Linked DNA regions of Arabidopsis thaliana. The protein of the gene in region 1 interacts with the protein of each later gene in a pairwise test. Each region holds a gene or a part of one and is shown in the gene's direction. Other genes may lie near its edges.

Region 1 (3,394 bases):
GACTATATTGAGCTTGGGCTTGACTCGTCAGGGATTAGATGCTTTGCAATGTACAGCTTTATATCGATGGAAGATTGTGAGGAGAATCAAACGAACGCGTGGTTCAAATCCAAACCCAAAATGTTACGAGCTTTAAGTGTTATATTTCGTCTTACAAACGACATAGCCGGCTTCGAGGAGGAGATGAGGAGAGGAGAAGTGGTTAATGGGGTGAACTGTTACGTTAAGCAACATAATGTTACCAAGGAATTGGCGGTTCGAGAAATTAAGAAGATGATTAGAGATAATTACAAGATAATGATGGAAGAGTTCTTGACGATAAAAAGTGTGTCACGTCCGATTCTGGTCCGGTGCTTCAACATTGTACGATTGGTCAATCTGTATTACGAGGAGGGTGATAATTTCACCAATCCCAATGGCAAGCTCAAAGATCTCATCACATCTTTGTTCTTCCATCCTCTTCCGCTTTGAAGACTTGGCTCCTTGCCGAAAAATTCATCTACATTTCTCTTTCCATTATTATTGATGATTGTTAATTTGCTCTATGCACATATTTTTCCATTAAATTTTAATTCCTGGGGTTTCAATTAGTTTTTACTATTTTAATTTATTTTGCATAGAAGTTTTTTTTATAACTTTCACTACCCACAACGACAAGGAAAGTTGACCAAAAGAATGAAATAATATCATAATTCATGTTTATATACGTTATACTATTCAATTCTTAATTCATGTTTATATACGTTAAACTATTCAATTCTTAATTATGTTTCTTTGCAAATAATATTAAATTACACACATGAGTTCTTGAACCAAGGAACGTATAAGTTCAAAAAATAGACTGGAAAGCAAAACTTTGTTATACTTGTTGAGTTCTTATGTAGGATCCAAATCTTGTAGATAAGCAACAATATATAATGGGCGGTGAGATTAAGACTGAAAGTATTTTTTTGACCACCGGATGGACCGTACGGATTTCCACAATTCGATACGGTGTGGTTGTTAGTGCCTTAGTGGCGGTGGTGACCATTATGCAGCCATTTAACTATTTAGGGTTGGAATTTGGCTCATGAGGTTTTACTACACATCAAGAAATTATTTGGAGACAGAGCATCGATCTTCTGCTGGTCGGGTTTTAGAATTTCATAAAATCAAATTTTGGTTAATTTAGATGGGTTTCTTTCCCCAATTCTTCGTTATGAACAATTCATTATTTTGGTCAACTTAATTGTCTATGACTCTATGGGCAGTTACATAATGTTACTATCATATTTGCTGTCAAGACTCTTGAGATATGGCATATATGGACTTTTGTACGAGAACCTAAAGTTCTAACCAACACATGATATAAAGGACTAATTGCTTTTCTTTTCATTTGGTCTTACAACAACAAAACACAATATACTACTTTGACTTAAAATAATTGATCTTTTATATGAAACACTAATTTATCTCAGTATGAACTATGAAATCTATTTCCTAGTTGAAAAGTTTAAATATTTTGAACTTTTTGATCAAGTTAAATATCTATAATCTAACTAAGGCCCAGAATATACCAAATATGAAATATATTTATCAAGGCCATGTCAATTTTCTTGGAAGGCATGTACAAAGTTTTTACTGAAAACATATTTGATGTGTAAAAAAATATTTCTAAAAAAATTTAGAACCCAAATCATATAAATATCAAACTTGTCTTCAATCAAAAAAATAATATTCAATCAGCGTTTTCTTTCAAATACACACAACACACTATTTGTACACGCTTAAAGACAGCTTTGCTAATGTACAATATCCATGTAAGTAATAGAGACCCATGCATGCATGACAGCATATTTCCACTTCACAAGTAACTACGTAGGAAGCTCACTTCACCTGAAACCAAACAAGCCATCCACAAATTCTATTCCCTCATTTATTGTCTTCTTTATTTCTCTATATATACAATTTCACTTAACCACTGACTCTATAACTCAAAACTTCTAAACTAATTCGCACAGTTCTATATACACTCACAAACACACACACACACAATATAGTGCTACTAAAATAACCTTGTATTAATTATGGAAAACACTTACGTTGGCCAACGAGATTACCGCTTCAACGTTAACCAGTTGTCCTACAGAGGCATTCGTCGGAGGAAATGGGGCAAATGGGTATCGGAGATCCGAGAACCCGGTAAGAAAACAAGGATTTGGCTTGGAAGCTACGAGACGGCCGAGATGGCTGCAGCGGCCTACGATGCTGCGGCTCTTCACCTCCGAGGACGTGGGACCAATCTCAACTTTCCGGAACTCGTCGACAGTTTTCCTCGGCCGGAAAGCTCTAGTTCGGAGCACATTCAAGCGGCTGCACAAGATGCAGCACTTATGTTTAAACCAGGTAGGTTGAGTGAACCAGCTCTCGAGTCTGGTCAAGGACTTTCTCGAGTAGGATTGTCTCCGGATCAGATTCAAGCGATTAATGAGTCTCCATTAGACTCGCCGAGGATGGGGTGGATGCAGGATTTGGAAGTTGCTGACTACGAAGAATTATACGGACAATTTTTTGGTCAGCACGATAGGGATGAGTTTTTTGAAATGCAGCAATTTCAGTCCATATGGAATTCTAATAATTGATATACGTTCGCTTAATTGCTTAACCATTTGATTTTTTTTTTAATAATGTCATATCATCAACCAAGGTTTTTCGATTATATTCAGTAAAGTATAATAAATTTTCGACCCTTACTGTTTTTCTTGGGTTCAATTTGTAATCTCTTAACAATGATGATGTCATAAATACCAATATGATTAATTCAAATTTTCAATATATATGTAATGTTTTGGTTCCTTGTCAGTCAGATAGTATCATATGGTTTATACGAGAAATAAATATAAACCAAGGAAAAAACTCAATCCAAGAAAAAAAAATGTTATCTTATAAAAACTTAGAAAAAAGGGTGGTTACCTTGTGCTTCGTCTTCGGTTTTCGTTGTGGTATTCGTTAAATTGGAATAAGACTAACTCCGAAAAATAGGTAAGATTATAGACCAAAAACCTGAAACTCCTATGGTTTATTAAAAACAAAATTATTTGATGAAAGTCCATTATGTAGACACATATAACCCATAATATATACACACGAGCTGACGTGCACGTACCAATTCGTACTATGGCCGCCTCAAAAGTACAGGTTTATTCCATATTATAGTGAGCATGAGTCCGTTGAAAAGCTTTGATTACCTAAAGATATACTATAATCAGTATCAATAACAACTGTTGCAGTCAATATTATATTAGTATGAAATGTTTTAATTGTCCCATACGTTCAGTTTTCTGTTAGGCCTAATTGCGTGAAATTATAAATTAAAGTTTTAATTAGATCATAATGTAAAAGCATGAATTTGACT
Region 2 (4,558 bases), on another chromosome or scaffold:
AAACCATTTATTTATTTATTTATAAAGTTTATATATGTATATAGAGAACTTACCAGGTTTTGTTATCCCAATTGTCCAATTGATAATTAAAGTATACCGACTTCTAGTTATAGGACTTCTAGGTGCATGCATGATACATACATGATGCATTATGCATATACATGAATTCTTCTAAAATGGATACATAATTAATTAGCACACACACTATCTTGGCTTCTTCGTTTCTTGGACGTCTTGGCTTTTTTTGGTCGACCCACATTAGCTTATTTTATATACACGATAAGAGACATACATTTTCATTCGCCAGGCCTGATCTTATATATTTATGTATAGCCGTATAGGGATATTTGTATGCATGCGTATTCAAGTGCTTCTTCTTTTCCGATCTGAATTGGTCCTTCTCTTTTCATATTTTCTTCACTTTTTCTTTCAATTTTCTATTATTTTTATACTTTCTTTGTACACATACTATATGAAGCATATCTGTATACACTGAAATCTAATCAGGAAATACGTAAAGTATCGTTACAAGAAATACGTAAAATAATGCTTGCCAATGATTGATTATCTTATCTAATCATTGGTATAATCTATATACGCACTTGCTACCAAATATTGCACTTATATGGAATATGAAGCATATATATGTTTATGGAAACAATAATGCCTTGGTATCATCATCACTTATATATATCATTTTAATTTTGTAAGTGCACTTGGATTAGAAAGGATATATAATTATATATCAACTACTTTGTTTGGTATATCTTTTAGGTCTTAATTTCGTTGGATGATTAAAGTTGTAGCTGACCAATACTATGCTAAGTCGCTAAATATTTTAATTATAGGAAATATAAGATCTATAATACAACCACAAGAGTTATCCAACAAACAACAACCTTTTTTGTGAATGGTATCTATATTCGTTGAAAATGACGGTATAATTTTAAATAGAAATTGATTACAGTTTTTTCTTTTCTTTGTTATGCACTATAGAAACTTTTTTTTTTTTTTGGATTCAAGCATGTGGCTCAACCATCAGGGTATGTCAAATTTTTTGAATGAACACATCAACTAATTAAAAGAACGTAAAAGTTAATAACTATTTTTCAGAAATGTAAACAGTAAAATCAAGACGTTAACAGTTAAATTCAATCAAGCAAAATGACAGTACACATGTCGGATTTGCTCAGATCCTCAATAGTTCTGATGTTCTTGTAAGTTTGTATCCCAAAACTTTCTGAAATTTAGTTTAAACAATATATTTAAGTGGTCCAAAGACTTCACAAACATTTTTTTTTTACGGAATAATAAAACGTGGAAAGGTCAAAGGTAAATAAATAATACTAATAGCTTACTAATTAAGGTTTATCATTAGTTTTAAATAAATAATACTAATAGCTTACTAATTAAGGTTTATCATTAGTTTCTTTATAAAATGGTTCGGACTCCTGAGGGTATATGGCTGTACCTTAATTTAAATACATGAAAGTATTGGTTTACTATCATTTGATTTTCTTTCATTGTTAAATTATCTCATATATTCTTAAGTTACATAATAAAAGAGTATTTTTTCATGACAAATTATCGCTTTTATATTTTACATACTTACTGAACCGTATCATATCACATATATAAACAATATTATATACTAATGGCTCGTTTAATTTTTTTCTTTTTAATAAATTAGTTGACAAAAATTATAAATTAGTTTTTTAAAATTTAATAGAAAATACGTTATGCTGTCAAAATTAAAAATAAGATAGAAAATATGTTGTATATTTAGTTATTTACTAAAAGCAATTGAATGGAGTAAAATTTGCCACGGTCAGAGTTATTCTTTCTTAAGTTCACTATTTTAGGTCCTCAATTAATTGAGGCCAATTTGTCTTTTTGTAATCTCATTATATTCATCTTCTTTCTCTTTCTCATCGCACCAAAAATGCCTTTTGCCCCTCTCTCTCTATATCCAACCCATGTCTCCTCTTTATCTCTCTAACTTTCCCCTTAGAGAGATTCCTCTTTCTCTCAAACTAGGGTTTCCTCTCTGAAAACAACAAAAATATCCCAATAATTGCAAAATCTACTTGAAGATTTTTCATTCTCCTTTCTTATAATTAATGCCCAAGAGAGAAACAAAGAAGATCAAACCTTCTCAAGAAGTTATCAAGGAAGGACCTTTTCTTGTTGCGATCCATTTAAAGGTAAGACCAAGAGTTTTTCATTCTGTACAGCCAATTCACTCACACTTGCATAATATATATACTTTCTATATATGTTGATTGATTATATAAATTTAGAGAGTTTAGATCATGAAAATTTGATCACTGGTCTTGAACTACCAAGTTATAATTTGGACGACCTTTTTTCTTTACAAAAGAAAGAAGAAGTTACAATTGAAAGTGAAATCAGGAATTCGGGACTTCTAATATACAGTGAAAGTATCCTATATAGCAGGTAATAAAACTCGGTCATAAATTCAAGATTCAAACTAATATGTAGTACATGTGGGGAACTCAGAGTCAGAGAGACAGAGAGTGCTTTGATGAGAACATGTTGTTTGTTTGTTTAGAACTAATACTAGCTCTAAAACGTAAAACCTGTGTGAGTAATTCGAATTTCCGACACCCATTTTCTTCATATTACTATGAATATCATATGGACGTTTACATTTTAATGTGTAATGTTACACAAGTTTATATAATTTCCCATAATCGTCTTGTGTGTTAGATTCACCAATAACTTTTTAGTATGGATTATTCTCAATTTCCCAAGATTTTATAATTATGTAAAATTAATTCATTAGACAAGGATGTATATATTTGTTTGAGATATATTTGAAATATAAATTTAGGTGGTATAACATCTTTTTGACGCAGAAAGAACACTATGAATAATGAATTTTAAGGATAATAAGATAGGAACATGCATCATACGTCTTCTAAGTTATATTGATGATGAGACTATTATTTCTAGTTACCATTTTACGTAGAATATAATGAATTTTGAGGATTAAAAGACTAAGAACATCATACGTCTTGTAAGTTATATTGTATTGATGATGATACCATTTTATTGCTACTTTGCTAGTTACCAAATTCAAAATGGAAATAAAACATTTGAAACTGTATCAATTTTTAAAAAGTGTACGTAGACATATTGTTGATAAGATATTGATAATTGATGTATATAGAAGAAGAAGAGACTCCAGAGAATTACAATATCGATCGATATGGATCAAAATTCATATCAATCTTATACTGTAGTTTCGAGAATTACTAATAAGATACTATGATGTGATTAAATCGTTTTTGCCATTTTTTTGCAACTGAAAAATCAGGGGATATATATGTCGAACTACACAAACTCACCGTGTGCAGCATGCAAATTCCTCCGGCGTAAATGCACGTCAGACTGCGTATTCGCACCCTATTTTCCGCCGGAGGAACCTACAAAGTTTGCGAACGTCCACCGGATATTCGGGGCAAGCAATGTGAGCAAGATCCTCCACGAAGTGGCTCCCCATCAGCGGGAAGATGCGGTCAACTCGCTGGCTTACGAGGCGGAAGCACGACTTAAAGATCCAGTGTATGGCTGCGTTGGAGCGATCTCGGTGCTCCAAAGACAGGTCTTGAGGTTGCAAAGGGAACTCGAGGAGACAAATGCTGATCTCATGAGGTACGCTGGTTGTCTCGGTGGTGAAACGACGTCGGCTTATGGTGGTCGGAGGGGTTGACTGGTCAACGAGAGTTGATTAGTCATCATCACTCTTTGAGAAAATTAGCGGCGGAGAAGTATAAAGAGAGAGAGGATGGTTGATGTGATGGTAAGTGTTATTAGTCGTATGTATATATGTGTAAATATGGGGACATGCATGCATGTATATTTATGTTTATTTTCATGTATATACTTATGCGTATGTGTAATTTAACTTGTAATTTTTTTTTCATGGGAGAGGTCAAGGAATATTTTTGATGATGTTGAATAACTAGATCTTGCTCATGCTCATATCTCCATAACTCTCTTTAACTTGATCTAGCTCCACTGATTTACATGTGGCCCATTGGTCATTATTCACAAGTTTTTTAGTTTCTGCTAAAAGATTTATGTTCTAAATTATGTATGTACACATATTTCATTGATTAATGACAGATTTTCTAGCATTTTATAAAGTTGCATTCAACGAATTGTGATTGCAATATTACTATTGTATTATGATATTCAAAAGAATAAAATTTCATGTCGACGGTTTTGTATAGACTCATAGGAATGTAGGCTAATAATTGGTTGTTTGATTACACACACTAGTCACTGGTCAGAAACACAAAGTTGCTAATATTTTAAGTTAATTGAGTGATTTTATATATTTGTCGACTTGAAAAAAGTTTAAATAAATTAATCAATTTAGAAACACCAAAATTTTGTAGCTTTAATTTAGGCACATGTCTTCATAGGGAATCTCTTTTTAAAGTCGGTCCTTTTATAATTTTATGTCATTTGGGGCGAACTAACAACCACATATATTTACATACAAATCAACTAATCTTGTCAAAAGAAG

What was found. Proteins that work in one complex are often made in the same cells at the same time.
Region 2: the proteins of AT1G33760 (region 1) and LBD25 interact in a two-hybrid assay, tested with the Arabidopsis thaliana proteins (one large-scale study listed by BioGRID).

What each region holds. Positions count from the first base shown.
Region 1 is NC_003070.9:12,235,878-12,239,271, forward strand, and holds AT1G33760 (Integrase-type DNA-binding superfamily protein), read left to right. Parts: upstream 1-1,669; 5' UTR 1,670-2,066; coding exon 2,067-2,621; 3' UTR 2,622-2,833; downstream 2,834-3,394. Other genes in the region: AT1G33750 (Terpenoid cyclases/Protein prenyltransferases superfamily protein), read left to right, coding at 1-471.
Region 2 is NC_003074.8:10,236,611-10,241,168, forward strand, and holds LBD25 (LOB domain-containing protein 25), read left to right. Parts: upstream 1-1,903; 5' UTR 1,904-2,120; coding exon 2,121-2,204; intron 2,205-3,340; coding exon 3,341-3,736; 3' UTR 3,737-4,038; downstream 4,039-4,558.